Linked DNA regions of Rattus norvegicus. The protein of the gene in region 3 interacts with the protein of the main gene of each other region in a pairwise test. Links are inferred from orthologs where the notes say so. Each region holds a gene or a part of one and is shown on either strand. Other genes may lie near its edges.

Region 1 (4,586 bases), on a different chromosome or scaffold from region 3:
TAGGCTGCTCAGGTATGATGGTGGTGATCACCTCAGATGCAAATGAGCTTAGAGGCAACAGGTGTAGTTGATAAACAATTAGTCAGGCCAGAGGAGGAAGGGGAGTTTCAGGCTACTCTAAACTATACACTATTTTCCAGGATAGCCTGGGCAGTACAATGAGACTTTGTTTCATAAAAAGGAGGAGGAGGGGGTTGGGGATTTAGCTCAGTGGTAGAGCGCTTGCCTAGCTTGCAAACGCAAGGCCCTGGGTTCGGTCCCCAGCTCCGAAAAAAAAGAAAAGAAAAAAAAAAAAAGGAGGAGGAGGAGAAGGAAGAAGGGAAGGGAGGAGGAGGAGGAGAATCTATCCAGATAGTAAAAACCTGAAAGACTAAGCTTTATTCACTAAGTTGGGGAGCCATTAAGTACTAAACTCAGAAACACTTCCAAGTGCTCTTCACTGCCATTCAGCCAGATAAAACGTATTATCTATGGCCTCATTATTCTGTTTAAAGTATTTAAAAACACTTGTGACAACTGATTAGACATTTAGTGAAAATATCAGTTTGCTGTACAAATCTCTGGCATATACATGTGGGAAATCTCAGCTCCAATATAGCAAGCCTAATTTCACAATGAATCACCACATTTTCTCTGAGTACCTTGCAAACTCGGGATTCAAAGACCTTTTCGGTTTTGAAAAAGACCACCATCACAATAGTGATTACTGTATCGATGATCATAGTAGATCTTGGTGGACAAGCATATTATAAGCTCATGAGAGTGAAGGTACTGGCACGGTTTACTGAACAGTAAGTAGTAGTTTGAAGTAGTTTTTCTTTAACTGCCTAATAACTGGAATAGAAATTAAAATTACATTGATCACATCCTATGAGCCTTCGTTTCCCATCTGGTACCAGGATTTCCATTAAGAGGCCTTTATGAGTTCTTGAGAAAAGCCTCCAAATAAAGTAACAGACATGGCTTTTCTTTCATTTAACAAATTCCAGTCACTGTGAACAAAACCTGCCTACTCGCCCAAAACAGCGTTCCTCGGGGACTCCCTCTCAGTCACTTCGTGCCCTGTTCCCCAAACCCCGAGCCTCTTCTAAGCCGCCCGCAACCGCCCGCCCCGCCAGTCAGCACCGTACCCTCAGGTTAGCCCGGAGGCCCAGTCTTTTGGCTAAATTTTGCAGGTCGCTGTACTTGAAGGAGTCCAGCTCCTCTGCAGAGGGGACGGTCATCACGTTCTGCAATCACGGTGATACCCAGAAAAACAGCCACACGACTCAAAACAGCACCGTTCAAAACTGGCGCCACCCAAGACGTTGACAAGCAGACTTTTATACTCAGTTTAAATGACGAATGCTGTACGCCCATTGGTTGAACTGCCTCGAGGGTGGGGTTTCCTATGAGGGCCAGTAGCGTGACTGGCTGAAGACAGCTACTCCGCAAACCTAATAGGCAGACACTGGGTATTGTGGGCGTGTCTTACAGGAATATTGTCCAATGAAGGCACAGCAAAACAGTTGGGCGGGACCTGGGACGTGCGTGAAACAGGCGCGGGTTTCGAAAAATGGCGACTCTTTCGCCGCGCGGTCTCCCTGTCGTCGAGACCCAGTCCTGTAGTGGCTCTTGTGATACACCTTTTTCTTCCTCCATGGAGTGGGACACTCAGGTGGTGGAAGGGTTCTCCCCTCTCGGGTCTTCCGGGTCTGAGGTGAAGGCGTCACCTGTCGACCTGCGGCTGCCTGCGTGGTTGAAGCCGGAGAGATGTGCGGTGTTTCATTGCGCGAGTTGCTACGCGGTGCTCGGCGACACTGTGCACCTCGCCTGGGACCTATCGAAGTTCCTCGGCGCCCTGGCCTTTTCCAGTGAGTGAGGCGAGGGTTGCATCTGAGGAAGGCAGACCAGAGCCAGATGGGGGATGTGGCTTAGTACCCGAGCGGGGAGTGAGGCCTGGTTTTGTTTTCCAGAGTTGGGCTTCAAACACAGAACCTAGCCTGAGCTAAGCCAGCGCCTTTGGCACAGCCCCCACTTGGTTAACTTTTATGGCCCGATGAATCTGGTGGGAGGTATTTCTTTTTCAAAACCGGTTTGTCTTCCAGGAGTCACAAACAACGTCGTTTTGTTAGAGCCCCTTTTGGTTGGCATAGAAGGTTCTCTCAAATCCAGGTACGTGTGGAGAATTCCTGAGGTGGATCTGTATTGTTCCGGATTTAATGATGGTCAAGAGTACGTAACTGTTGTAAACAAGAAAGAAACTTTGTGTTGTGGCATGTTTACTCTCTCCATACAGTATGTTTGAAAGATAAACTCTTTACCCGTTTCAGTCATATTAACCTGGCTTTAATGAAAGTTAAAGTTGGGGGTAGGTCTTAAGGTCTGTGAGATAACTAGGACTATTTAACTTGGAGCTTATAATGTAAATATATAAACATAATATAAATCACGACAAGACTAATTCTGTAGTAATCTATAGAAAACTCTGCATCTTTGTTTGTTAATGTTTTTCCTATAGCAATAAAGTACTCAGTGAACTCGGGCTTAGAGTGAGGCCAAGCTAAGTTGTAGCCATACCTCCATTCAACTTTGCCAAACTAAAGACACATTCCTATCCTTATAGGAATTCCTTCTCTCAAAGGGGACCAGGAAGGAGTGGCCTGTTTCTATTGAAGTTGTTTGGAGCAAGAGGCAGAAGTACTCAGAATTGATGTAGATGGTCACATGTGTCCAGTACTGTAACCACTACCAGCTGTAATGGACCATTAGGATGTGGACATTGTTGAATTGAGAATACTTTGAATTCATACAGTATTTCAGAAGCATTTAGGGGTAGGGGTTGAGATAGGCTCTCTCACTCAATAACCTCACTAGCCAGGAACTCACTATGTCACCTAAGCTGGCCTAAAGCTTGTGATCCTCCTACATTGAAAACTTTTTTTGTGTGAATATGTTTGCGTATGCGATGGGAGCATGCATATGTAGGCCCGGAGGTAACCGGAAGCAGTCTTGCCTTCACCATGCTGGATGGAAGGATTAAGCTCCGTGTCTCAGGGTTGGTAGCAAGTGCCTTTCCCCACTGAGTCATTTCACTGGCCCTGAAGTGACACTTTTGATCTAGTTACATCACAAATTCTTTTACTTTTGATATTGGTAGTAATGGTCTTACCTTGACCTTACAGTTCTGCTTCTGCCAACAAGTGTTGGATCACAAGCATCAGAACCTACACCCAAAATCTTTTTAAAAAGCCTGATTAAAAACTGTAATTATAAGCCTGGTGGTGGTAGGACACGACTTTTAACACAGCCCTAGGGAGGCAGAGGGTCTCTGTGAGTTCAAGGGCAGCCTGGTCTACAGAGCTAGTTCCAGGACAGCCAAGGGTTCACAAAGGAACCCTGTCTGAGAAAAACAAACAAAAACTTAATCATACATTTGGAGATGTGCTATAGCTTAGAAGTACTATGTTTGCTTATCTTGTATTAGGTGCTAGAGTTGATCTATAATAAATACTTCAAAAATGCATACAAGTTAAAAGAAGAGAATGAGATTTCTGTTCCACATTATAATCTAAAAATAGTTTTATTACCTTTATTTATTTAGTGTGTGTATTGTGTAGTCACATGCCAAGGTACACTAATGAGGGTGAGAGGACACCTTTGAGGAGTCCAGACCCAGGATCACACTGTCAAGCTTGGTTGTAGGTACCTTTCCCTGCTGTTAGTGCAGCCCTGACTTCCCCACTGTGTGGTTCTGCTTGTGTGTATCCTAACTGAGGTAAATGGTCGTTTTCACTAGTAAACTTGAGGTCTTGAGATACATTCTTTACTATCTTTGAACTCAGTAGTTGATTGTTAGATTGTATTGTATGTGACACAACACTTATTATAAATTATTTCAAAAAGTTTTTTTGGATTACAGTCTATTGGTACTTAAAGTTTTGGCCAGGCATGGTGGTGCCTTTAATCCCAGCACTTAAGGAATGAGTGACAGTGAAGAAAAATCTTTATTCCACTCCACTGCCTGATATTATGTCCTGTTGTCTTCCAGACTGACAGACTTTTATAATGAATACAAATTAAAACCTAATCGACCTTATTCTATATAAGGAAATGGAGAAACAATTGTATTTTCAATATATATTGGAAGTAACTGCCTTAAGTCCTTTGGTGTTCATGATCCAGTGGCCTAGCAAGCTATATGATGCTAACTGACTATAAGGGAGTAAAAAACCCAAAACATCTTAAGGACAGTAGTAAATTTCTTTATTAGGTAGGGAGCCATGAATTACACAAGTGGTCAGAGACAGTACCAAAATTAGTTTTGAGGATTGTATTGTTTTGTTTTAAAAGTTTTTAGTTTGTTTTTGGTCAAAAATTATGTTCTTTGTTTTTGTTTCTTTCAAACAAGAGTCTTATATGGCCCAGGCTGTCCTTGGGAGCCAGTGAACTTGATGAAGTCCATCAGGTCGATGAACTTGAGTTCCTCCTGCCTATGCTTCTGGGTGTTAGAGTAACAGATACCAACACTATACCTGATGAGGGTAGTTATTTTTATTTCTCTTTTAGCTTTTCATTATTTTATATTCTGCTTCTTTCCTTTCCCA
Region 2 (3,981 bases), on a different chromosome or scaffold from region 3:
TTTTATATTTATCTTATACTTTAGATTTATGTTTTTATTGTTTTTGCATATGGGTGTTTTGCTTGCATGTATGTATGTGTATCACATGTATGCCTTGTGCTCATGGAAGTCAGCATTAGATTCCATGGAACTGGAGTTCCAGAGAGTTGTAAACTGCCATGTGGGTGCTGAGATGGGAACCCAGGTTTGCCTAGAAGAGCAGCCAGTGCTCTTAAGTGCTGGCCATCTCTCCAGCTCCCCTTATCTGTTGTAAACGTCACTCAAATACTAGAGATTTATTAATGGGAACATTCCAGATCTCTTTTTCCTGCTCAACCTAGTTCCACCGACATTAAAGGATCATCATCTGTTCTGATCTTATCCACTAGTCTCTGAGAATACAGAGAAAACAATTATATAACTTCTGAACTAGATAGAGCTCTGCAGGGAGCATACTGTATATCATAACTGTTTGCATGAAGTCTAGGTCATAATCACAATGGGGTGAATGTGACAGAATTTAAATTCTCTTCCTTGTCTAGATCCGTGGCTGTTGTTTTGTCTCTAGATTTGGTTATGCTTTTTGGTTTTCTATGGATGACTTTATTCATTCACCAGATATACATTTTTTAAATATCTGCTGTACGTTAGGCACTTGCACTGGCTTCTGGGCAGTTGTTTAGTTTTGTAGACCATGTTGAACTTGAACTCACAAAGTTGAGTACAGGGAGGCACTTTAGGCAAGCACCATCACACCCAGATACAGTTCTTACACGAAAAGGATGCTAGGAAGTGTTTTGGTTACAAAACATTTGTGCATGTGTATTTTTTATAACTACCTATTTCCTTTCCTCACTAATCTGTTTTCTTCCAAGTGGTCCCTGTCCTTAGCTGGTACTGTTCTTTGCTTTAAAGGTCCGCACTGGGCACACTGTACCCTGACTCTTTCCACCCACTCCTGCCTTTCATCCTCACTTTCACCGCCATTCCAAACACAGAAATAGACAGTAACAGGGTCAGCAAATACAAGCCAGCCCTCAGCACAGTGACTTGACTCAGCGTTAGTGATCTTTTTCTCCATTAAAGCAGTATCTTAATAACTGTCGTAGTAGAACCAAGTTATTAAAGGTAAGCCATGCATATTCTAATTTGTTTTCATAAAGTTTGCCAGAAAAGGGCCCAGAAAGATGGCAGGTAAAGGCTCCTACTACCAAAACCGATGACTTGAGTTTGATCCCTGGAACCCAAATTGGAGGAGAGAACAGAGTTTGGCAAGTTCAGCAAATTGTCTCTGACCTCAGCACATAAATAAATACATGTAGTAAAACTTGGCTTCAGAGTTTTAGATCAACATCTGAATGGACTCACAGGGTACTGATGTCTTTACATCAGCAATTAGTAGTTTGGCCCTGGGTGGTTTAAAGTTACTAAGCTATTTATTTTATAACTATTGTACTTGTTTGGAGAGCGATGTGAAAAAGTATATCCAGGGAAGTAGTTTTGCCCTTTATCTATTTTTCAGTATGCATTGCCTTTCTAGGTGTATAGGTTGTGATTGCTAAGCTAAAGTTTAATTAATTCACTTAGGCAAACATTATGGGCACAGCTGGTGGACTATGTACATGAGGACATGAACGGTTTGGAAGCCAGTCTGCGTTAGCATTTTAGATCCCTGCAGTGTGTTGCATTGTTCACTCTGCTCAGAGTACCACATCAAAGCATGGCCAAACACTATGTGGTTATCCCGCTTATTTCAATTTATCATGTTGGGGCAAATAATTCTCAGCATTTACTGTTTCCCTGAAAACATAAAAAGAATTCTGAGAACTGTTTCCTCATCATCTTTTTGGACACAAAGTATTTTTTTCCCCTTAGGTCAGAGTAAAACTATAAGTGTGTGTGTGTGTGTGTGTGTGTGTGTGTGTGTGTGTGTGTTTGTGTGTGTGTGTGTTTACCTAAAGCCAAAGCCAATGTCAAATGTCTAAAGTCAGTGCAACTGTTTATCGGAGTCCTAAGAAAGACTTAGCTATCCAAAGTTATCAGGGGGTGAGAGAAAGCATGATTTTCTGGGTATAGCCCTCTATAAAATTATAATAATTATTTTCTTGCCTTAAATAGGGGCCTGGGAATTTAAGCAATCTTTGCAGAATCTTAAATTGCTCTTAGGACAACATTATGGCATAGAAGAACCATTTCTTTTCTAAGATTCTTATGATCAAAGCTATACTCGTCAAGCCAGTTCTTTACAACATCTACAAAAGACACATTAAAGAATTTTTATTAAGCCATTTTTATTAAGCCAGGCAGAGTGGTTAAGAGACAGAGGCAGCCCCATATCTATGAGATTGAGGCTAGCCTGGTGTATATAACGAGTTCCAAGCCAGCCAAGGCTACATGGAGAGACCCTGTTTCAAAAACAAAACAAAAAACCCAAACCCCAAAATGTCATTATTCCTTTGAAATTCGATTATTTACTATCTAAAAATCAATCATCCCCTTTAGAATAGTTTGTTGTAAAGTCATACATAACAAATATCTAGGCATTTCTGCTTATAATCAAACTATAGATGTATACAGCAAATGTATTGAGGACAGTTGAAGGACTGAGTGTAGAAACGACAGAGATTACAGTACCTCTTGAGAGTGTCTGAGGAGGTCTCTTTTCCTTCTTGATAGCAATGGCAAGGTTGGAAGAAACTGTGATCAGCAAAAGGCAGAGGGCCAGAGCCGAGTGTAGCATGTCTTCTAGAGAGTCACTCAGAGGCAGCTAAAAGATAATTTTCGGAAGCTGGTCATTTTTCACAGCCGTTATCCAAAGGTATTTGGACAAACCAGAACCTGACAGTTTCATTTTTCAGTTTTATATTAGATAATCTCAGGGTGATCATTTAAAAACCATTTTAGTAAATATTAAGGTTGTGAAGGTTCTGGAAATCCTGACGCAGAGTGACAATGAGAGCAGGTGGAGGGTACCCAGCTGTTCCTGAGGTCACTGTGCTGTGCATAGCTCTACCGTGAAACTCAAACCCTGTCCTGTTGGTTATCATTTTCAAACTTTATGATGCAAAGCAAGATTGACTCTTAGCATCAAGATTCTTTGACTTTTCGTCTCTCAGGGCCTAACAGCTGGGACAACATCTTTAACTGTAGAGTAGCATGAGATTAGACATGAAAACAATTCTTCAGCTACAAATAAGAAGCAAAATAGACTACGGGCAAGCCTTGTTTTTCAGTGCTCTGTAGGCACATGGCTCCAACAGTCGCATAGCCTTCCACTTAAAACTCTTCTCTTTAAAAAGGCCAAGCATTATAGGCTACCGAGATGACACATAGGGACAGCAGAGTAGAAAGCAGTGCACATATATCCTCCGTGCTTGTTCAAAAATTCTTAAAACATTTTTGACTGCAGATTTGTATCATTTGACAGTGAATTCCACCATCGTAATGAAATTTCCTAGCCCAAATGCAATCAACAATTGCTTACTGATTCTGCTGGACTGTGGCTATATTTAACTCCATTAAGAATTGTGGAAAATGGAAAGATTCACAAGACACAATAATTTGGTCCTAAGAAAACAACAGGTGACTGTGAGTGTTGATGCAAAATAGCATCTGAGATCTCGTAGGGCAACAGCTCAGTGGAGGTTTATAGGCCCTGGTTTCTCTAGATACTTCTTTATTTGTCTTGTTCCACTATGTTCTCAGTGATGTCTCTCCTGTCTCATTTCTGAATCAATGATATTTGCCATTCCTGGTTAGTCTTATTGATTACTTCCATCGATAATTGCCAGCAGAACCACTTATTGTCTTCTTTGTATGCAGGGTCTAAAAACATGTTAAACAGTAACCATGTCTGATAACACTATCAGTTTCAGTTCTTATAGCTCATTAAGTCATAAAACATTTCAGAATGTCATTCTCGGACCTGGACAATGAAAAGAAAGCAATGGACAAGGAACAGGACAGCCTGGGCTAACAAGGCCAACTTGGGAGGGTCAGCTT
Region 3 (4,445 bases):
GAACCCTGGAAGTTAGGCAGGGTGGGAGTTCTGTTCTATTAAAGACACCTGTGGCCATGCATAATTCTTCTTACCCTTTCTAGGCCTCAGTCTTGTCTTCACAAGCAAGCTATGGGCCTTTGGAATGGTAGGCCCCTTCTAAGGACAAAGCCCCAGATTCGCTGTGTTCTGCCCAGGGGGCTCCTATCCAGGTCTTTGCTACCTAGGAGCTGTTGCCAGGTGCTCTGTGGTCCCCAGAGAATTCCCTTACCCCTTCCTACCCATCAGAGCCACGGCTGATGCAACTGCCTGCAACCAGCCGCCTCACTCCCTAGCTCAGGTCCCTCCGCACTGGAAAAGAGTTCCAAGCAGCTCCACCCTTGCTTCTGGCTCCCCAAAGAATTTGTTTGTTTTTTGAGAGTAAAGAAACTAGGCTGCCATTTGAGACTGGGTAAGGGTTATAGACAAAGAATAACACACATGTTGGACACATAGCATGGGCTGGGTACTGGCCAAAGCTCAGGGTGGCAGGCCTCCAAGGATGACCACCAAGCACAACTGAAATTAAGATGGGTTTAGGGGTGGGGGAAGCATCTGGGTGGGACCCCAGGACAGAAAAAGGTTGTGCAGCCTTGGCTGTGACGGAAGCACCACAGGGAAGAGACTATGAGCTGGTACCCACTCTGCACTGTCTTTGAAACCTATCTCATTCCAAAAGTTTACTTTAAAATACTAAATTCAAGGAAAGGAGGACCATAGGCATTGCAACATGGCATACTGTTTCAAAAATAAAAAAGGGCACCTGTGGGGCCCAGGGATGCAGCTCAGGTGGTAGAATGCCTGTCTAGCATGCAATGCATGAAGCCATGGGTCCATTCCACTTCTGTATTAGTGGCAGCCTTTATGCATCAGTATCTAGTCTAAACAGACTCCACACAGAATTAATGCAGCCCATAGCTGGTAAGCTAGGGCTGGAGTCTGAACACATCACATCTCATGGTTACCTGTACTGGCAGCAGATACGAGTGCCCACTCCAGGCTGGAGAGATGTCTCAGCGCTTAAGAACACTGACCCGGGTTGGGGATTTGGCTCAGTGGTAAAGCACTTGCCTAGCAAGCGCAAGGCCCTGGGTTTGGTCCCCAGCTCCGAAAAAAAGAAAAAAGGGGTGGTGGTGGTGGTTGGGGATTTAGCCCAGTGGTAGAGTGCTTGCCTAGCAAGCGTAAGGCCCTGGGTTCGGTCCCCAGCTCTGGGAAAAAAAAAAAAAAAAAAAAAAAACACTGACCCATCCAAAGGTCCTGAGTTCAATTCCCAGCAACCACATGGTGGCTCACAACCATCTGTAATGGGATCTGATACCCTCTTCTGGTGTGTCTGAAGACAGCTACAGTGTACTCATACATAAATCTTTTAAGAGAGCCCACTCCAAGAGTAAAATTGCCAAGGACTTCCTGCTTGTAACTTTCAAAATCAGTTTTCCTCACCTGCTCCAATCTTTTTTCTTTTACAGTACCAGGAATAGAAACCAGGTCCTGGAAAGCAGCACTCTAGCCAATACTCTGCCACCAATCCCCCACCCCCAGCCCAGTATAATTGTTTTTTTAAATCAGGGTCTTTGTAAGTTCCCTAGAAGGCTAAGAACTCACTTTCTAGTCCAGGCAAGCCATGAACTTTTTTTTTTTAAATCACACTCCTAGTCAGCATTCAGACCTGTCACCACACGTGGTGATGGTGAAGGCCAGAGGACAACCGTCTGTCTATAGAGTTGCTTTTGGGTTCTGGGGATGGAACTCAAGAGGGTTGGGTTTAGAGATTACCACCTGAACTATCTCAAAGCAGCTCAGGCCCTGACCTTGACTTCCAATACTCCCGCCTTGGCCTCTTAAGTAGGTAAGATACCAGGCCTGGCCTTTGAGCTTTTTCTTTTTAAAAACACACTGAGGCCAGCCAGTATGACCTTGAATTCATGATTCCTTCTGCTTCCATCTTCCAAATGCTGGGAATATAGACAACTACCAAGCACCGTCCATGTGGTGCTGGGTGCTAAGGTTCTTGTGTGCAACAGGCAAGCACTCTTGAGTTCCATCTCCACCCATTCAGTCTCTCAGCTGCTACAAATATGATAGGCTGACTGGCTTCCACATGGAATGACGGCTATACTCGAACACGGGGCGGAAAACCGCCCCATCATCCTGGGGGACAGACAGGATCAAGAAACAATTTATCTAGTGGGGTCAGCAAGAGAGCAAGGACTGCAAGGAAGTCAGAGCAAGGGGCAAAACCTAAGAGGGTGGCATGATGAGCACAGCATGTAGCAAGTAGGGATGGCTGGAAACAGAAACCTTGGAGGTGGGACACACAGAATGATCATATGGATATGTTGGCTGGCTAAGAATCGGGGGTAGGGAGATAAAAAGGGGTGAAATCAGGCCCCCTCCCAGGGGTGGGGGCTTAATCTAAAAGAAAATAAAACGATTTTAGTAGTAGATGAAATGACTCAGTGGAGAAAGGCTGCCAAACAATCTGACCTGAGTTCCATCCCTGGGACCCTACTATATAGTAGGAGAACCAACTCCTGCTAGCTCTTCTTTGACCACCACATACATACACAATAAACGTTAAAACAAACAAGAAGGTTTAAGAGTCCTGATTAGGACTCCGTGGCCTACTTTCCATAGCTGGTATATTTGTGCGTATATCTATAAACAGCGACATCTCGCTGTTGCTCCCTTGAACTCGTCTATGAAGCCTAAGCTAGCTTGAACTCGCCATTCCGCGATGAGCTTAACCCACGAGGTCTCTCGGAGCGACATCGGTTTTAGGGACTGGTGGCAAATTTGTGAAGCAGGGATAGATAACGGGATGAGCTGGTTACGGGTGTAAGAGAGATCGAATAGGATCCAACCGATACAGGAAACAGAGTCCGGGCCCCCAGCCTGAAGCAGTGAGTGAAGGGTCAGGGCGACATGGCGGGCCCGGGGTCGCCACCGCCCCGTCGGGGCCCCGCGAGGGCGGAGCGCGGAGGGATCCAGGCATCCCGCGCTGCGCCGCCCCCGGTATATTTGTTCCCAGGCCCCGGGGCCGCCTCATTTTCAACCCTCTCAGCAGTCTCCCTTAACGCTCCTGCCACGCCGCCTCCGCCCGTGCAATGGCTCTGTAGCCGCGATCTCGTCGTGTCCCCCGCCCCGTTTCCGCGCTCACCGCGACTTCACTCTCTGCTCACACCGACTCTTCAACTGAGGCCGCCGCCGCCGTTGCCTCCTCTCCTTTTCGCAGCCATGGAGTGAGTAACCGCTCGCCCCTCCCTCTCCAACCGCCTTTCCCGCCCTTTCACAGAGCTCGCGGGGCTTCACGGGTCAGCCTCGTGGGGAGGGGGTGGGGAAGACGATATGAGGAACCACGGTCGCGCAGGCGCAGAAGAGGGAAGTCGGTGGCCGGCGCATCCGCTGAGCAAGCGCACTAGGCTCCAGGCGTGGGGGAGGGTGTGCTTCCGCAGAGTCTGGGGGCTTTTAAGGTCGGTTCGCGCGCCATTGCGCCTGCGCACTAATTCACAGACCCTCTTCCTCCTTTCCCCTCAGAGGATACGAACCCACACTCTATTGCGCATGCGCATTACCTTATTCCCGGCCTGAACTACGGAGGGCGGCCGGTAATTGGCTAAACACACGCACTGGTCCCCCCAGGAGGGTAGTGGCGTAACAATGAATCCGGTCCAGGGTCTGAGCTTTCGTCTTGCGGCTTAGCGAGCAATCAGCGAGGAAGGGTGGAGTTCCTCGAGGCTCTGACACTGGTCCAACTTCCCTCCAATCAGGCACCTGCTGGGGCGGGGACTGGCTTAGATTGACAGGGAAGGCTAAAGAACACCTTTAAGAAAGACTTGGAGCTAGAACCAAGGGGCGGGGCCTCTAGGGACTTGCTAGTTGGGGGCGGGAACTGACTTGACAGACAGGAGTGTGGGCGGGGCTTCCCGTAGAATCTGTAGAAGTCACCTAAAACTTTTAAGGGAAGAGTGGGATTTGTGTGTGTAACACTGATGAAGGGCCCAAGGCATGGCAGAATTATTCTGGGAACCCCTGTGAACTCTAAAGGGCGTATAGTCTAAAGAAAATATTGATGCGGAAGGGGCACGGCTAGAAGAAAATAAAATTACCTTGGGATTGAATTTTTTTACGAAGAGCAATAAGATGAGGTAGGTAGGAGGGGCTGGAAGTAATTCCCCTGGGAGAACACTAGGTTTCTGTGTTGAGGGAGGAGATGGGGCTGGGGAGTTTCCAAAAGTTGCCTTGGGAATGTATGGAGCTCTGGAATTTGCAGAAAGAAGAAAAGTGTGGGTAGCTTGTGGGTCAAGCAGCTTTGACTCAACCCCACCCACGCCACCTTGTCTTCCTCACAGGCCCTCCACCTTCGCCTTGGTGCCTGTCTTCACCCAGCTGAACAATCTTCCACGCTGCCTCCCAGTTGTTGGTGC
Region 4 (4,555 bases), on a different chromosome or scaffold from region 3:
TTGTGAATATGTGGTCGAGGGCAGTAGGTGTGTGGGAGTGGGGTATGTGCATGTTAGTGCAGATGCCTGAAGATGCAGGAGGCCTCTGACCTCTGAAGCTGGAATTGCGTGTAGTTGTGAGCTGCCCACCACGAGCGCTGGGACAGTCCTCTGAAGATTGGTCCACACTCCTAACCACTGACCCATCCCTCCAGCGCCCCCCATACCCTATTTTTAACTAATCGGTTTTTAAAGAGGTGTGTCCAGCCTCTAGCTGAGCATTGTATGTTTTTGATCTGTTCAGGTCTTCCTTTTAGTCTCACAGTAAGGCTTAATTTGCTTCTCTTTGTAGTGCCTATGAATAACTGAAATATTAGAAAGGTATTTTATGATTTGCTGGTTACGTTGTACGATTAGTTATTGTTTGAATAAAGGCAAGCAAAAGTCAACCTTGATACTTTTAGGACCTTTCCCTGGGATTTCATTAAATGCTTGAGAATGAGGTTGTACAAGCCACAAACAATGGCAATTCTGTTTCCAATTCTTATAACTAAATCCCGTATCTTGTAACCGATTGGTTAACTTGTAGCTGGCAATAGTAGCCAGCATCTTTGCCTTGTCCTTCCTTTTGGGTGGAAAAGCTTCTAACACTCCACCAGCCCTTTCTGTGCCAGGTTTCTGGCAGACATCTGCTAACAAGTCAAGCAAATTTCTAATCCCATTTTGTTAGATTTTCGTAACTTTTAATTTTTTTTTCAAACCTTATTTTTAACCAAGTTCTTAAACACTTTAACCTCCCTTGTAGCCCGCCACCCACCGGAGGTAAGTGGAAAAGAAAGGATTGGGGTGGGGCGGGGGCAGTGGACCTGTTTACTAAGTTTCTTTGGAGCAATTCCCGTCTGTATTGTCTGGAAATCATCAGTTAAGTTCACAGATACACCAGCAGTCCAGTGCGACAGAGTTGGGTCAGCAACAGTGGTGACTTGACCGAGGAGAGACAGCGAGGCCTCGACCTCAGAGTCAGCAGAAGAGACCCACAGGAACACCAGAAGTTCTCAGCTGTGCCTCTCTCAGAGAAGCGAAGATCAGCGAAGATGCGAGGCCCATAAACGTTTCGCAGCTAGCTGTACCAGCAAGCCGAGCGAGCTCTGTCTCCATCACTCTGTGGAGTCCTATTTATACCCTCTTGGAAGATCATGCGTCTTCCAAGTGCATTGCCTCAGCACGTGCATCCAGGCGAGTCTGATGAGTCCTGAGAGTGCAGCTCAACGTTCCTTCATGTGTTTGCCCCAGCAAAACACCATCCAACCGACTTTCCAAAGAACCCTTAAGTTTTCCACTTCAGGTTCTGCTTTTAATCAATACTGCATGCCTATCTAGTCTTACTAAATATTTTAAAGAGACCACGGAAGGTTTACCCTCTAATGGAACAGAGTAAATTATATTGATGAGTTTTCTAATGTGGAACAATGTTTGCCCTCTATGACGCATCTCTACATGACTCTGACTTTTGTTTTCTTGCGTGAGGCGGAAGGAGCTGACGCATGTGCGTGTGTGCATGTGCGTGCGTGCGTGCGTGCTTGCTTACCAGTGTACATGCAGAGGCCAGAGGGAAATGTCAGGTGTCTTCCCCTCTCACTCTTCATCTTATTCCCTTGAGACAGGGTCCCTTGCTGAATCTGGAGCTATGATGGCAGCAGAAAGCCCCAGGGATTTGTCCTATCTCCGTCCCTCACAGTGCTGGGTTACAGGTATGTAAGCCTCGGACAGTGCTTGCCACGGATGCTGAGGGTTTAAATTCAGGTCCTCAGTGCTCGGGCAGCAAATTCGATTCCTTTCTGAGCCCCCTCTCCAGCCCGCAGGCTCGCACTGGATTCATTGTCGGTTTGCTTTGTTCGTCATTTACTTAGACTCTGTTTTCATAAATGAGATAAGCTCACACCAGGCCATTTCGGCCTTATGATTGCAGAATCCTGGGGGCAGTTTAGGTCCCCAGACAGACAGAGTTAGGTCCCCAGACGTCAGGAGGATTCCTGCCCTGCCTTCACCCTGAACAGAGTCTCTTAGGTGGGATAAACTAAGCCATAAGCTGTGACGGTATCAGCCTGAGAAACTGATGGGGCCTTAGATCTGGTCTTAAATATAGATTTAGCTTAAATAATTTTAAACCAACTTTCTCTAGTGATTTTACTTTTTGGGCCACTTTGGTAGTTTTTACTTTTTGGTCTCAAAAAAAAAAAAAAAGTCTCATGTGAGTTCTAAACTTAAAGGATATAATATTGTACATAGTATACTTTGTCCCATTATGTTAAAAATCTGTCACCGGTAACTGTAGCTTTTGTTATTTTTTTGTATCAAAAATAAATTATACTTTCTTGTTTTGCTGAGTCTTGCCACCTTAACTATTTATTTACTTGAACTGGATTTTTTTAAAAATCTTTAAACCAGTCTTTTCTTTTCTTTTTTTATTAACTTGAGTATTTCTTATATACATTTCGAGTGTTATTCCCTTTCCCGGTTTCCAGGCAAACATCTCCCTCCCTCCTCCCCCTTCTTTATGGGTGTTCCCCTCCCCATCCTCCCCCCTTGCCGTCCTCCCCCCAACAATCTAGTTCACTGGGGGTTCAGTCTTAGCAGGACCAAGGGCTTCCCCTTCCACTCGTGCTCTTACTAGGATATTCATCGCTACCTATGAGGTCAGAGTCCAGGGTCAGTCCATGTATAGTCTTTAGGTAGTGGCTTAGTCCCTGGAAGCTCTGGTTGCTTGGTTGTACATATGGGGTCTCGAGCCCCTTCAAGCTCTTCCAGTTCTTTCTCTGATTCCTTCAACGGGGGTCCTATTCTCAATTCAGTGTAAACCAGTCTTTTCAATGACCCCTGTCCTGACCGGGGCATCTCTTCCGTCAGAGAAACACTACTGGTTGTGTCTCTCAAAGGCTCAAATGCAAAACTGACAGTCAGCAGCCGATAATGCTATTAGGAGACGGTCCCGCCTTTGGAGGTGGAGCCTAGTGGGCGGAGTTAGGAGTTAGGTTGTTGCGCTTTCAGGCCCTTGCCTTAGAGTTCTTTTCTGCACCGACTCAACTTCATCCCCTTGGCACTTAGCTCCGGTTTCAGGACTTTACTTATCGTCTTCTCTGTTGTTGGTTTCCCAATCTATGTCTCTCTGTTTGACTTATTTGCAGACAAGTATTTATTTGCTATTTCTCTGTCGATATTTCGTGATTAGAACAGGACTCCGGAGATCTTGCCGCAAATTTGTGTTGTGTTCAGCTACCCACGACCTGTGAATGGCGGTTTTGTTCTTCAGCTTTCTCCTTGCCTTCCCTCTCTCGCATCCCACCCCAGCAAATTCTACTGATTCCACTGTCAAAACTCATCACTTCTCACTACCGTCTTAACCTCACTCTGGGCTGACTGATCATCACCTCTGCATCCTCAACACAGCTCTCAGGGTTGGTCCTGTTAGGTGAAATGTCAGTTTATAGCACTCTTTGCTAAGACTCTCAGTGGTCTCCTCCTCCTCTTATGGCCAAACAAAACCATTACAAAGGATTTTGTAGAGAGGTTCCGGCCCCTAGCTCTCTGACCGACTCATCTGACCTGTGATCTTCTTCGTCTTCTCTACCTTCTGCACACTGGTTATACTGACCGCATCAACTATTCTTGAGCAAACCTGGTCTATCCTGTCAAACTAGATCTCCCCTGAGGCTAGAGTACACCTTCTCGAGACATCCGTAGGGCTTGCCCACTGCATACTTCAGTTTTCTGCCCAGATATTACTTCCTTAGGAAAGGCCTTGTTGACTATACTGTCTGAAATTTCCACCCACCTCCATCTCTTCAGTTCCCTCCAATGTTTACTTTTCCTCTCTATCGCTTGTTACCATTAACCTAATCTAGCTTTTGCTTGTGTGCTTTAATTACTTTTTGAGATAAAGGCTTGCTATGTCAGAAGGCCTGGTCTTGAACTCCAGGGCTCAAACGGACCTCCCATCTTAGCCTCCTGGCTGATAAGCCCATAAGCTTGTTCCACCAAGCTGGGCATGAACTTTTTACTGATATGTTAATTGTGTCCATCGATGGATTACAGTGTGGCAATTCAGTATGTGTGTATACAATGCATAATGATCAAACCAGAGTAATTGTCACTTGTGTACCTGTAAATATGTCATTTCTCTATACTGAACACCTCCTTTCTGGCTCTTTATAAAATGTATAGGAAATTGTTGTGTAGTCTCCCTTCTATGGTACAACATTTGAATTTATCCCCCTTTATAAAACTATATTTTGGTGACTCTTGTCCAGTCTTCTCTGTCCTAGCTTTCTCTCCCGTCCTTAACCTCCAATGACCACTGCTCTTTCTTCTAAACTTAGCTCATTCCTGTTCTCCTCTTTTATTTATTTATTTTTTAAATGTTTATTTATTTATTGTATATGAGTATACTATAGCTGTCAGACACCAGAAGAGGGCATCGGACCCCATTACAGATGTTTGTGAGCCACCATGTGGTTGCTGGGAATTGAACTCAGGACCTCTGGAAGAGCAGCCAGTGCTCTTAACGACTGAGCCATCT
Region 5 (4,059 bases), on a different chromosome or scaffold from region 3:
ATATACACTGAACACACACATACTGCACACATATTGCATGCACACACTGCACATACACTATACACATACATATTGCACATACATACACTGCATACATACTGTATACACACTGAACACACATACTGCACACACATTGCACACATACTGCATACATACATACTACACATACAGCACACATACTGCACACTTATACTGCACACACACTCATACTGCACACACACACTACACACCACACACACACACACACACACACACACACACAGCCACAACACAATGAAGAGTTAGGCATGAGATAAGGAAGGGTGAAAACAATCTCAGAAGTTCTAGGTGTACTCAGCAGTATACCCCAGCTGACCCACAAAATGGGTGTCTGCCCATTTGTTGCATGAGAAGACAGGTAAACTTTCTAGTAAGTCTGTAGGACCTTGGACAAGTTGCTTTACATATCATGACAATAATGTCTAACTTAAAGTCTTGTAAAAAAAATTAAAAGCCTTTCAAGTAATAAAAATGGGGCAGGACTTCCTCAGTAACTATTTTGAGAGAAATAGAGTAGATTGAAACTTACCTACCCTAACCCAAGAAGCTTTGATTCTTATTCTTTCTTTACCCTAGGATGTGGTCTTTGGGGATTAGTATCTGTGTTTTGTGGGGTTTCTTTCATAGCTAAAGTGGGGGAAATAATGCATGTACTCTCCACCTAACATTTTTGGAAAGATCAGATGAAGTAATGTATGGTAGCATTGTGAAGCTGACAGGTCAAAATCCCAAGTGTCAAGGGAGATACGCACCTCAGTTAAACAAGTTGCCCAAAGTCACACAACTCTTTATCCTAGACATAAGATGCAGGCATTTCCAGTTACTTATAGGCTCCAGATTTCAAGAACCCAGCAATTTTGCCTTCAACTCACTATCAGGGGTGCCACTCCACGGTCAGTAGTACCCAAAGTGCCCCAAGGATGCACTTGGGGGAGCCTACTAGACCAAGGTGCCGTGAAGGAATTAGAGTTAAGGGCACTCCAGTCTTCAGAAACCTCCTCCCTTTCTTCCTGGCCTTCTGCCTGTCACAGTCTCTTCTGTGCTCCCTACGGCTCATGTACAAAGTCCCACAATGCTGCCTTTCTCAACAACACACAGGGAACTCAAGGATCTGCAAACAACCCTCCCCAGCCCTAGGTCTCGCCATTTATCCTGCAGACCCATACCCCCAGCACTGCAGAGATGAGTCTGGCTATACGTCTGCTAGTGTGCAGAGAACAGAAGGGCACGCTGACCTGTGGACAGGGTATGAGGAGGCAAAGCACAGGTCCCAGGAGAGCAAGACCAGAGGGCTCCCCAGGACAGGGCTCGCCAGCTTGGAACAGGAGCTCTGGGCTCCTAGTGAAAACTCGGAGATCAAGGCCAGCCCTGGACAGCCTCTGAGGCTACTCTAAGTGAGCTCTGCGACTTCCTGGCAGGCTGGGTGTAGCTTGGTCGCCTTGACCACCAGAGGGAGAAACCTTGGGAACATTGGCTCAGGACGCTGTACCCTGAAGTAACAAACCGCCTTGCTCCCTGGCAGTCACTTTCCTTGACCTGGGGATTCTGGGAACATGCTTGCCCAGAGCCCTAAAGGTGCACCCCCACCAACACCATACCTTACTATTCTAAATACGTATCTCAAGCCAAAATTGCTAACGAGGTTGGAGAAACGGGTAAAGAGGAAGACAGTGGTGGAGCTGAAGGAGCTGAGCCAGCAAATCCAAGAAACTAAATGCCGGCGGGAAAGGCTGCTGACGGACAGCAGGCAGCTACTAGAAGAAAAATACCGCGTGCAGGCCGAAAACCAGCTTTTCACGGAATACTTGCGTAAAAATAAGGAACAGTGTGAAAAGAAACAGGAGGAGCTGTGGAAGCAGTACATCCAAGAATGTGGCGAGATAGAACGAGAGAGGCAAGAATTGGCGTCCAGATACAACCAGAGAAATGCAGCTCTTCAAGCCCAGCTCCTGCAGGGCAGAAAGACCCAGAAGGATTTGAAGCAGCAGTTGCAGGCCCTGAAGCCAATTTACAAAGTAAAGGAGGGCCAGGACATGAAAATACAGAGCTTGGAGCAGGAGCAAGAGAAAGTCCGAGGTGAGACTGCGGCCAAGGACCAGAAGGCACACTTCCGGTTCCTGCAGGAAAAGGCATTGATGGAGAAGGAGCTGGAAGACCTGCACCTGATGGAGCTGGGGCAGATCAACACCACGGGGCTTACGAGGAAGTACAAGGCCTTGGCTCTAGCAGCCAAGCAGGCTCATTCTGAGTTCTGTGGCAGCCTCCACAGGGAGAACCAGCAGCTACGCAAGGAGCTTCAGCAACTGAGCCAGGAGTACCGCAGGGTGGAAGCTGTGAGGAATCAGCTGGAAAAGCACCGGAGGCTGATGAAAGAGCAGCGGTGGTACCTAGAAGCCTTGACCAGAGGGCGGCAGCGGCTGCAGGCAGAACGCGAACGCCATCACCGTCGTCACAACCCGTGCCTCAAGGAACAGAGAACTTCAAAGACCATGCTGAGCACCAAATCAAAAACAAGTTTAAAGTAAGAGCTACTACAACTGAACTGGAGCACAGGGAATAACTACAATCCAGAAAGTATCCTTCGTGGAGACTAGAAACGCTTGCACGAAGGGCGGTTGACGCAGCATGGGCTGTGCTCCTAGCCTGGGACCCAGGTCGTGGCTGTCCGTGTCCCTGGGGCTGCGTACACTCAGAGATTTAGAACAGTTGGAAATTTTGTAATGGGTTACACCACCCACTTTTATAGTAGCATTTGAAATCCTCAGATTACCCACTTAGGGCATATATTTTTACCACGCTTATTTTTTTCTTAGTGTGTACTCTGCAGTCCACAAAGTACGGTGTATAACCTGTACATTCTATGTATTTTGGGCCATATGAAGCAAATAGGAATCTTAAATTGTAGGGTTTTTGTTTGTTTAGAAGGGTCGCACGTTTGCATTTATGGTGGACTGTTTTGTTGAACTGTGGGTTCTGGTCTGGAAGAATGGTCTTGTATTTGGGTGATGCCCCTGCATAGGGAAAAGACATAGCCAGCTTCACGTTTCTCAGAAATTATTGGTAATGAAAACTTCGAGGGCACTCTTCAGAATTTTCTGCTTTTTTTATATGTAAAATAGGTTCTTTTTAAATAGGATTAAAAGGTGACTTAGCTTTTCAATGTGCCTTATCACCATCATCATCTTTTAGCATTGCTGGTGAATACATATACTTTACAGTTAAACAGTGTTGTTAAAACAAAATTTACCTGTAATTAGTTCTTAATACCCCTCCAGATTTATAAGTACAACAAAAATACTATATCCCTCAATGTTTTATTATACTACTGCCACCCTTTTGAAGTGATAGAACAAGCATGTGATGAGGTACAGCAGGCCAATAACATAAGCACCATGACTCGGGGTGAGGCCACTACGTCAGTGGCTAACGGGTGGGTAGTGTATAAAACATGGACGCTCTGGGCAAGGATGATTTGTGACCCTTATGTGATGGTACAAGGTCTCACCACACTACTCAGACACATGAAATATGCGAATCGTTTCTTTCCAGAATTTTCCATTTGATTTTGGACTGAAACTGAACACAGATAACTGAAAGGTAGGGAGGGAAGCCTGGGTAAGGGGAGTTGCCACGGTGCCAATCCAGGCCCCCTACTTTGCCTACTGTTTATAAAGGAGAAGCCCGCAGCCCAAAGGCTGTTTTAAAGCCTTCCTTGCGTCATTTCTTATCTCGTGGAGTATTAAAAGCTCACCTTGATCGAGGCTAACTACAGATCTTTTCCCTGTATGCCAGGAGCCATTATGTTGTCTAACCAATGGGCAGACTTGATGGACTGCTACAGGTTGCTTCTTGCCTCTAGAGCTGAGAGAGGCAATCTTTTCCCTAAAGGCCTGGAGAATACAAATATAAGGCCTTGTGTTCCCTGTGGATTCCACGGGGCATCAGTTCAGCCCCACCAGGGAAAACAGCCCCAAGAAACACAAAGGACAGATTAGTCAGGTTATGGAAAGATTTTATTTA
Region 6 (3,681 bases), on a different chromosome or scaffold from region 3:
TCCAGCAGGAAAAAAAAAATGAGGAAGGGCTGGAGAGATGGCTCAGCGGTTAAGAGCACCTGACTGCTCTTCCAGAGGTCATGAGTTCAATTCCCAGCAACCACATGGTGGCTCACAACCATCTGTAAAGAGATCCGATGCCCTCTTCTGGTGTATCTGAAGACAGCTACAGTGTACTTATATATAATAAATAAATAAATCTTAAAAAAAAAATGAGGAAAGGATAGGAAAAGGCGGAAGGAGTAGAGAAGAAGGGAGGAAGGGAAAAGATGAACAAAGAAAAAGAATGTTCAGCAAACTGAATTCAAATTCCTGAACTTGCCATTTCAAACCAGACTCCCTCGTGGCCTAGGGCGGGGGCGGAGCTTCCTCAGGGAGGAACTCCAGTTTCCTGACCACCTAGAGCAGACCAAGCTAAGCAACGCAATTAGCAAGATGATCTCCTGGATCTTGCAGGCATATCGAAGTGACTCTATCTAAGCTTAACATCAGTTTCCCTCTGTAAAATGGATGCGGCAGCAGCCACCTCAGAGAATCAAAACACAAAGTAGATGGGACTGCCAACCCCAAATCCTTAGAACTCACAGAGTTGAAGTGTTCTCCTTCAGGCGTGAGTCTTTGAGGGGTAGTATAAAGGGCAATAAAATAAGAAAAATGAAGGCACGGATGAAGGAATAAATAGGGAAAGAAGCGTTCATAGGAGGTAGAAGCTTTATTATGATGTCTCCAGGCAACAATCAAATCAGTAGCCTGTTTTGAACACTACTGTGCACACCTCCTGCCCATAGCATGGTCTAAGGTCCCACCCCTGACTTTTGTATTCCCTGGGAGGAAAATCAACTTTAGAGGACAGGTCTAAGAACAGAGTGAGGTTTCTGAACATCAAAGTGCAGTTAGCTTAAGGGAGAACCAAACTCCTAGTCCGGTCCTGCCTGTTTCTACTATGGAGGACAGGGTGAGAGCAGCAGAGCTGTTCGCGAGCAGCTCGGTGGGCTCTCAGCAGCCACCAGAACAGCAGCCTGAGCTCTGATTGTTGCAGGAGCGTTGAGACCTTTGGCTTCCTCCGCAGCAGCAGCAGCCGCCAGTGCGCTGACGGCGGCGTCTCCTGGGAAAGCAGCAGCAGCCGGTGGAACTGGAGCCACAGCAGCCAGAGTCACCACCACAACCGCCCCCGCAGCCTCTGCAGCATCCGCCATCACAACAAGATGAGGAGGACGTAGGGGCCGGAGTCGGGGCGGAGCAAGGGGCGGAGCTCTGGGAAGACCCTTTGGAAAAGCCTTTGGCGCCCTGCTGAGACATCTCGGCGTTTGTCAAGACGAATCTGAAAGAAAGACAACCTTTTTTAAAAATCCCGCCTTTTCTTCCTGTCGTGGAACACAGAGCTTTGGGCGTTTGGCTTACAGAAAAGTCTGTCTGACTTGGGGCAAGAGGGCTATGAGAAAGAAAGAAAAAACAGGGAGGGAGAGGGGAAAAGAAACAAACTCAAACAGGTGCTTCCAGTGGCAGAGGCACAAAGCAGGAAACAATATAAAAAGGATCGATGCAGTTTCCCTGACTGACATAAGGACCATCCAAGGTCTCTATGGTGGAAAGTAAAGAGCATACGACTACGATTTATCTGCATGACTCAATTAAAAATCTCTTGGCTTCAGCCCTTTCCCAACTGTATTTTGACCACACAGCCTTACAAGTGGTAATTTCAGTTGTATTGTATAAGCATCACCTCGGTCAGAAAACACAAAGACTATTTTTGTCCCTCTGTCTTGGGTACAGAGAATCCAAAAACACAAAAGCATATTCTGCACACCCTTTCTTGCCTGTCCTCCACATTATAAGGGAAAGGCATCTGTCATAGCAGAGAACGGGAATAACTTAACCAAGGTACCTAAGACCTGGTTACTCAAGCTCTTCTCAGACTGGAAAACCTTTCAAAGGTCAGGGCCATGCCAGGCCTTTGCATCTTCATATGCAACACAAAAGGCTGGCTCACTAGAAACCGGGTTCCAAGCCCATCTTCCCAACAGCTACATTCTGGTGGCTTCCTCCCTCCTCCTTTCTGTCTTCCATTCTTCCCAGCCTCCTCTCCGAGACCCTGCTTAGATACTTACTAGACTTTGGCTCCACAGGAAGATCCACTCAGTTCTCCAACTGGAACTTGACACCTGCTAGGCAGAAGACTGAACAATGTATGGCCAGAGAAGCTTTTATAAGATTCCAGCAAGTCCAGGTACTTGGGAGGAGCCCATTTCTCAACAGACATGCTCAGCTGACACTTGCATCCCAGAGGCATTCATCACTCAGATAGCACTGTAGGTGGTGCACGTGGACAACCAAGTCACTTCACAGAGGTGCCAGGATTGCTGTGGTGTGTTTACTTTTCAAACCGGACACTGTTCATAGCTGGGAGGGCTGTATGTGAGCTCAGAAAAGGCCTGGAAGGTCAAATGAGGAGAGGTCTGAGGTTCTCTCTTAAACACTGTACACACAAATACACAGGCACAAACAGCTGGGGCAAAGGGAGAACACCTGTACTGTTCCACTTTCTCACACACTTATTCAAGTACAGCTATCTCCTTATCATTTATTGTCTTATTTGCATCTCTATAGCCCTTGATTCTTGTCTTTGCATAGCAGGCTGCAGGCTATGTGATGAACCCTCTGGGTTTGGTCCAGATGCTTGTAGAGACTGAAGACAATGGTTGGGATGGGAATCCCAACAGTGGTTTCTTCCTATCACCATTGACAGGAGGAATAATGCAGACAAGGTTAAGAGACCAATAACACCAAAAACACCAAAAGAAGTCACTTTATCATATTTCCATAATGTAATCCTAATGGATCTCAGACAAAAATGGGTGAGATGTCCGTGCCTATTGGAAAATAGGAAGCTGGCTAGCCTCGGAGCTCCTGTTTCTGATACCACCTTCCTTAAGGATAGATTGACCCTAGGACTACTGACAAATAGGAAAAAGACAAAACAGCACAAAATGAAAAGGATAAAATAAAAGAGCAAAGAAGAGGGGAAAATAAAAGGGAAAATGCCTCGAAAGTTCCCACAGTAACTGTTGCGTTTTAACTAGCTGATTTATAAAACTGGAGGAAACTTTGGAGGTCAACTGCCTCTGAACTGCCTTTCAATCATCAGAACTACCTGGTCATACCAACCATGAGTATGAGACATAAGAGAATCTAAGACTAAGAATTCAGGGATTAAGAGTGAGATAGGTTTTGGGGTGCATTGCTGGGTGTGGCATGAGGAAACAGACAAGGAAGTACAAGTCATAGAAGATACCCGTTTCATTTGCCATGGCTTTAGATCCTGATTTACAGGTTGCCTACTGTAGCAGAGCACCTGGCAAGAAGAGGTCAGATTTTCCAAGAAGAAAGATCAAAGTCAGAAAAGAGAAGGAAGTGATGAAGTAATAAGGTCGATGCGGGCTCTCCTCTAGAACATTATGCAAAAGGTAAAGAAAGGGGTTGGGGATTTGGCTCAGTGGTAGAGCACTTGCCTAGCAACTGCAAAGCCCTGGGTTCGGTCCCCAGCTCCGAGAAAAAAAAAAAAGGTAAAGAAAATCAGAGATAGGAATCAGTATAACGAGGTCAAGTAGATACTCACTGTGTGGACCTCTTACACCAACTTTATGCATCACTGTTAACTCTTACCAACTGAGGAGCTAGCTG
Region 7 (3,401 bases), about 86 Mb from region 3:
GCCAGCTAGGGGTTGCCTCGTGACAAAAGTGACATGCCCCAACATACAATGCTGTCCTAGAATTACTACTGAGAATGTCTACTTACTACTCCCTAGTGTCATAAGGGGTAGGGATGACAAGACTCACTCAGGACCCAACCAAAGCTGTCTGGTCCCCAAGATTATCTTCACTCAACTTCACCCTGCTTTCAGCCTAGAGATACTGTCACCCCTCTGCCTCTCTAACCTTCTGAGGTCTGCTCCATTCAGACATTTCCTGTGATGAGTCTGGCCCTGATCCTTGATACCCACCTGCTGCCTGGCTGCCCGTGACCTCTCCTTCCCTAAGGCCAGTCACTGGTGACCCAAGTCCCAGGGTCCCACACATCTCAGCTGGGAGGAAGTTATGGATCCAGCAGCAAGATAGCCTTGGGATATATGCCTGCCTCTACCACAAGGTCAGTGTCCTAGACAGCAGCTCCCCAAGCCTGGAGCACGTTTCTTGAGGTAGTAGGAGGGAGATGTTGGCATGTCCATGGCAGTTGGGCCTCCTCTCACTACTCTCCCAAGACAACACGGGTCTCAGCAGCACAGAGCTCCACTGCTGGCCTGTGATGGCCCAGGTACAAAGATGCCCCATAGCTAGTGTTTATATAACAACAACTTAAGCATTTTATTTATTCATTAAGCTTCTTAGTATCACAATGGAATGATGAGAAAACAAGGAACAAAAACCCGAGAGTCTTCGAGAATCTCTGACAAAGAGCAGAGACTTCAAGGCAATTGGAGGGGCAGGAGGCTCGACAGAAACAGTTCCAATGTGGAATTTCTCCTGGGCTGGCTGGGCCAGGAGAGGTGGAGAGGTGGAATGGTGAGAAGGTGGCACTGTCGTAAGTGGTCCTTGGCGATTCTGACTCAGGACTGACACACATGATCTGCATGAACCACTCTGTGGGGTCTCTGGTACTTCCCTGGCATCCAGCCACAGGGCCCTCTGCCTGCTCCAAATGCATGGAAACTCTACCAGTGCCAAATGGACTCCAACACCTGCTGTGCTGGTGGCAGCAGGAGAGGGCAGAGGCAGGCAACTTGCTCAAGGCATGCCCATCCAGAGAGTGGCCAAGGCTTGTCACAGACTTCCGTGGCACAGGTGCAGGTGGTGTAGGTGGCGGTGGCAGCAGGCACTCCTAGAGCTTCACGGTGCCAGGGGGCAGGCTGTCATTGCAGAGTCGGTAGTAACGTAGATCATTTACCAGTCTGTGCACATTCTGGGTAAACGAGGGTAGGTCCTGAAAGGCAGGGCAAAAACTGAAGCCTGGCTCTTTTTTTTTTTTTTTTTGGTTCTTTTTTTTTTCGGAGCTGGGGACCGAACCCAGGGCCTTGCGCTTCTTAGGTAAGCGCTCTACCACTGAGCTAAATCCCCAGCCCCTGAAGCCTGGCTCTTAAAGGTCCCCCATACCCTAACAGCCAAGGCTAACCATCCGCCAAACTCATGAGCTGCCCCCACGCTTGTGCGTTTGGCTCTATGCAAACACAATTCCAATTCCTAAGCAAGGCACTGGTTGGGTCAGATGCACATGCAAATTCTTTTTCAGGGCTCCACGGGCCAGCCCCTGCTGCAAGCAATTCAGAACTGCCCCACAGCTTGCAACTCAGGATCTTGCAAGTTAGACAGGAAGGGAGGGAAGAGCTCCAGCACCACCTGGCTGTCCTTCCCCTTCCCAGAGGCCAGCCTTTGATGGCGCACACCTGAGTCCTTCCTCATGAGTTCCACAAGTCCCTACAAATTACATGACATCTGAGCCTAGCCACAGAGCTGCCCTGCTGGGAGTGGCAATCAGGAAATTGCTCCACTGTTTCCCATACTGCTTAGTGTGAGACAACAGAGCGCCGGCGGATGTGAACAGTACACACACACTGTCACAAACATAACTGACAGCCTGCCCTTGCTACCAAGGTGATCCCTGTGCAAAACTCAGCCACATCAAACAGTTGATACTGCTCCTGCCTCTCCCACCTTCTTCCTCCTTTGGAACTCAGCTCAAACCTGTCCCCATCACCAGATACTGCCTGCCTTGCCTTAGCTGGTCTGGTCAGCACCTGTGTTGAACTTTCAAAGTGCCCTCAGATCAATCATGTTGCATGCTCTCCTGCGACATCAGCTGGGAGCCTGTCCCACTACCAGGTGCCCTTCTGAGCCAAGACCATCTGCAAAAAGGAGTAAAGAGCTGCTCTTTAGAAGGAGGTTGGAAGAGCACGAAGTACCAGGAACAGCATGGCCCAAAAATACACCACACAGCCTGTCTCCCACAAAAGCATGCATGGAAGCAGTTGAATGGCAGCAAGGTGAACCAATACACAACCTCATGGAAAGTGATTCAGTTCAGCCTGAAGAATAGCACAGGGCCTGGTAGTGTTCACCTTTAACCCCAGCACTTGGGAGGCAGAGGCAGAAGGATCTCTATGAATTTGAGACCAACCTGGTCTATACGATAAGTTTCAGGCCAAAGTAAGACCCTGTGTATCGAGGAGGAGGGCAGAAAATAGGTGGATAGTGCTCAAATATGAGAGGCAGAGGGAGAAAGATCACAAACCAAGTTCAGCAAAAGCTACAAAGCGACCTCATCTCAGAATAATCAAACCAAACCAAGCCAAAAACTGACCAAGCAGCACGTTTTCAGTCAGCAGCTCCCAAACACCAAACCAGAACTCCCTCGGTGGAGCCAAGCACGCCTCTCCATTTTCAATATGCATCCTAGGAGTGACCAGATTTAGAACCCAATGTATTAACCAAGAAGTTGACCAATACTGATGCCACTGCAAAACAACTATTAGATATTAGGAGTTGGTCTCGAGGAAACCAAGGAAAAACAATTCAAGTGGCTGAAAAGAGAGAACAAGACAGACCCCCAAAGAAAAGACAATTCTAAGACACAAGAACACATGCCAAATGAGGGGGAGAGAGACCAGAGGTGCTCAGAACAGTACTCCAGCATGGAAGTGAAGAGCACCAATAGAAACCAGGAGCAAGCAGTCTCAACTCCCAAGGGGACAAGAGGGGCAGTGCTTATCCAAAAAGCTTCCAAAAGAACTTGTTCAAAAGAAGGCCTAACGCACACAGAGCAGGAAGGAAGAGCTATGGCCACACAACACAGAAAGAGGGCAGACACACAGCTTGACAGCATGGGGCAGTGGTGCCTTGAGTGACTTCACCCTGGGGGATCAGTGGCACAGAGGGTCAGTGTTATGAGGCCCCTTTAATGAATTTGAGCTGTGCCAGTGCTGCACTGTGAAGAGCTACAGGAAAGCCCAGGGCAGCCAAGCAACATATCTTGAGGACCCAAAGTTGTATCAATCTTTCAGCCTGCCTGAAAGCACAGAGGGGCAGCATGGTTCCTTCTAGACCATTAAGAGACGTGTAT

The links.
Region 1: the proteins of Nup62 (region 3) and Oip5 interact in binary tests that used the Homo sapiens proteins (3 or more experiments, as listed by UniProt). The two-hybrid records come from large-scale screens. The link is inferred for Rattus norvegicus from reciprocal best matches to the Homo sapiens genes NUP62 and OIP5.
Region 2: the proteins of Nup62 (region 3) and Agr3 interact in binary tests that used the Homo sapiens proteins (3 or more experiments, as listed by UniProt). The two-hybrid records come from large-scale screens. The link is inferred for Rattus norvegicus from reciprocal best matches to the Homo sapiens genes NUP62 and AGR3.
Region 4: the proteins of Nup62 (region 3) and Bfsp1 interact in binary tests that used the Homo sapiens proteins (3 or more experiments, as listed by UniProt). The two-hybrid records come from large-scale screens. The link is inferred for Rattus norvegicus from reciprocal best matches to the Homo sapiens genes NUP62 and BFSP1.
Region 5: the proteins of Nup62 (region 3) and Ccdc121rt1 interact in binary tests that used the Homo sapiens proteins (3 or more experiments, as listed by UniProt). The two-hybrid records come from large-scale screens. The link is inferred for Rattus norvegicus from reciprocal best matches to the Homo sapiens genes NUP62 and CCDC121.
Region 6: the proteins of Nup62 (region 3) and Crct1 interact in binary tests that used the Homo sapiens proteins (3 or more experiments, as listed by UniProt). The two-hybrid records come from large-scale screens. The link is inferred for Rattus norvegicus from reciprocal best matches to the Homo sapiens genes NUP62 and CRCT1.
Region 7: the proteins of Nup62 (region 3) and Xpo6 interact in binary tests that used the Homo sapiens proteins (3 or more experiments, as listed by UniProt). The link is inferred for Rattus norvegicus from reciprocal best matches to the Homo sapiens genes NUP62 and XPO6.

Annotation. Positions count from the first base shown.
Region 1 is NC_086021.1:127,054,006-127,058,591, reverse strand, and holds the start of Oip5 (protein Mis18-beta), read left to right. Parts: upstream 1-1,548; 5' UTR 1,549-1,555; coding exon 1,556-1,853; intron 1,854-2,087; coding exon 2,088-2,154; intron 2,155-4,586. Other genes in the region: Nusap1 (nucleolar and spindle-associated protein 1), read right to left, coding at 1,131-1,223. UniProt on the Homo sapiens protein: Required for recruitment of CENPA to centromeres and normal chromosome segregation during mitosis.
Region 2 is NC_086024.1:58,373,495-58,377,475, reverse strand, and holds part of Agr3 (anterior gradient protein 3 precursor), read right to left. Parts: intron 2,747-3,981; 5' UTR 2,720-2,746; coding exon 2,614-2,719; intron 1-2,613. UniProt on the Homo sapiens protein: Required for calcium-mediated regulation of ciliary beat frequency and mucociliary clearance in the airway. Might be involved in the regulation of intracellular calcium in tracheal epithelial cells.
Region 3 is NC_086019.1:104,434,820-104,439,264, reverse strand, and holds the start of Nup62 (nuclear pore glycoprotein p62), read right to left. Parts: upstream 3,238-4,445; 5' UTR 3,179-3,237; exon of another isoform or gene 1,654-3,178; intron 1,517-1,653; exon of another isoform or gene 75-1,516; intron 1-74. UniProt on the Homo sapiens protein: Essential component of the nuclear pore complex. The N-terminal is probably involved in nucleocytoplasmic transport.
Region 4 is NC_086021.1:151,703,159-151,707,713, reverse strand, and holds the start of Bfsp1 (filensin), read left to right. Parts: upstream 1-1,560; 5' UTR 1,561-1,730; intron 1,731-4,555. UniProt on the Homo sapiens protein: Required for the correct formation of lens intermediate filaments as part of a complex composed of BFSP1, BFSP2 and CRYAA. Involved in altering the calcium regulation of MIP water permeability.
Region 5 is NC_086031.1:95,784,608-95,788,666, reverse strand, and holds Ccdc121rt1 (coiled-coil domain containing 121, retrotransposed), read left to right. Parts: upstream 1-1,531; 5' UTR 1,532-1,592; coding exon 1,593-2,564; 3' UTR 2,565-3,199; downstream 3,200-4,059.
Region 6 is NC_086020.1:181,328,699-181,332,379, forward strand, and holds Crct1 (cysteine-rich C-terminal protein 1), read right to left. Parts: upstream 2,180-3,681; 5' UTR 2,109-2,179; intron 1,322-2,108; 5' UTR 1,300-1,321; coding exon 997-1,299; 3' UTR 694-996; downstream 1-693.
Region 7 is NC_086019.1:190,102,092-190,105,492, forward strand, and holds the end of Xpo6 (exportin-6), read right to left. Parts: intron 1,269-3,401; coding exon 1,167-1,268; 3' UTR 628-1,166; downstream 1-627. UniProt on the Homo sapiens protein: Mediates the nuclear export of actin and profilin-actin complexes in somatic cells.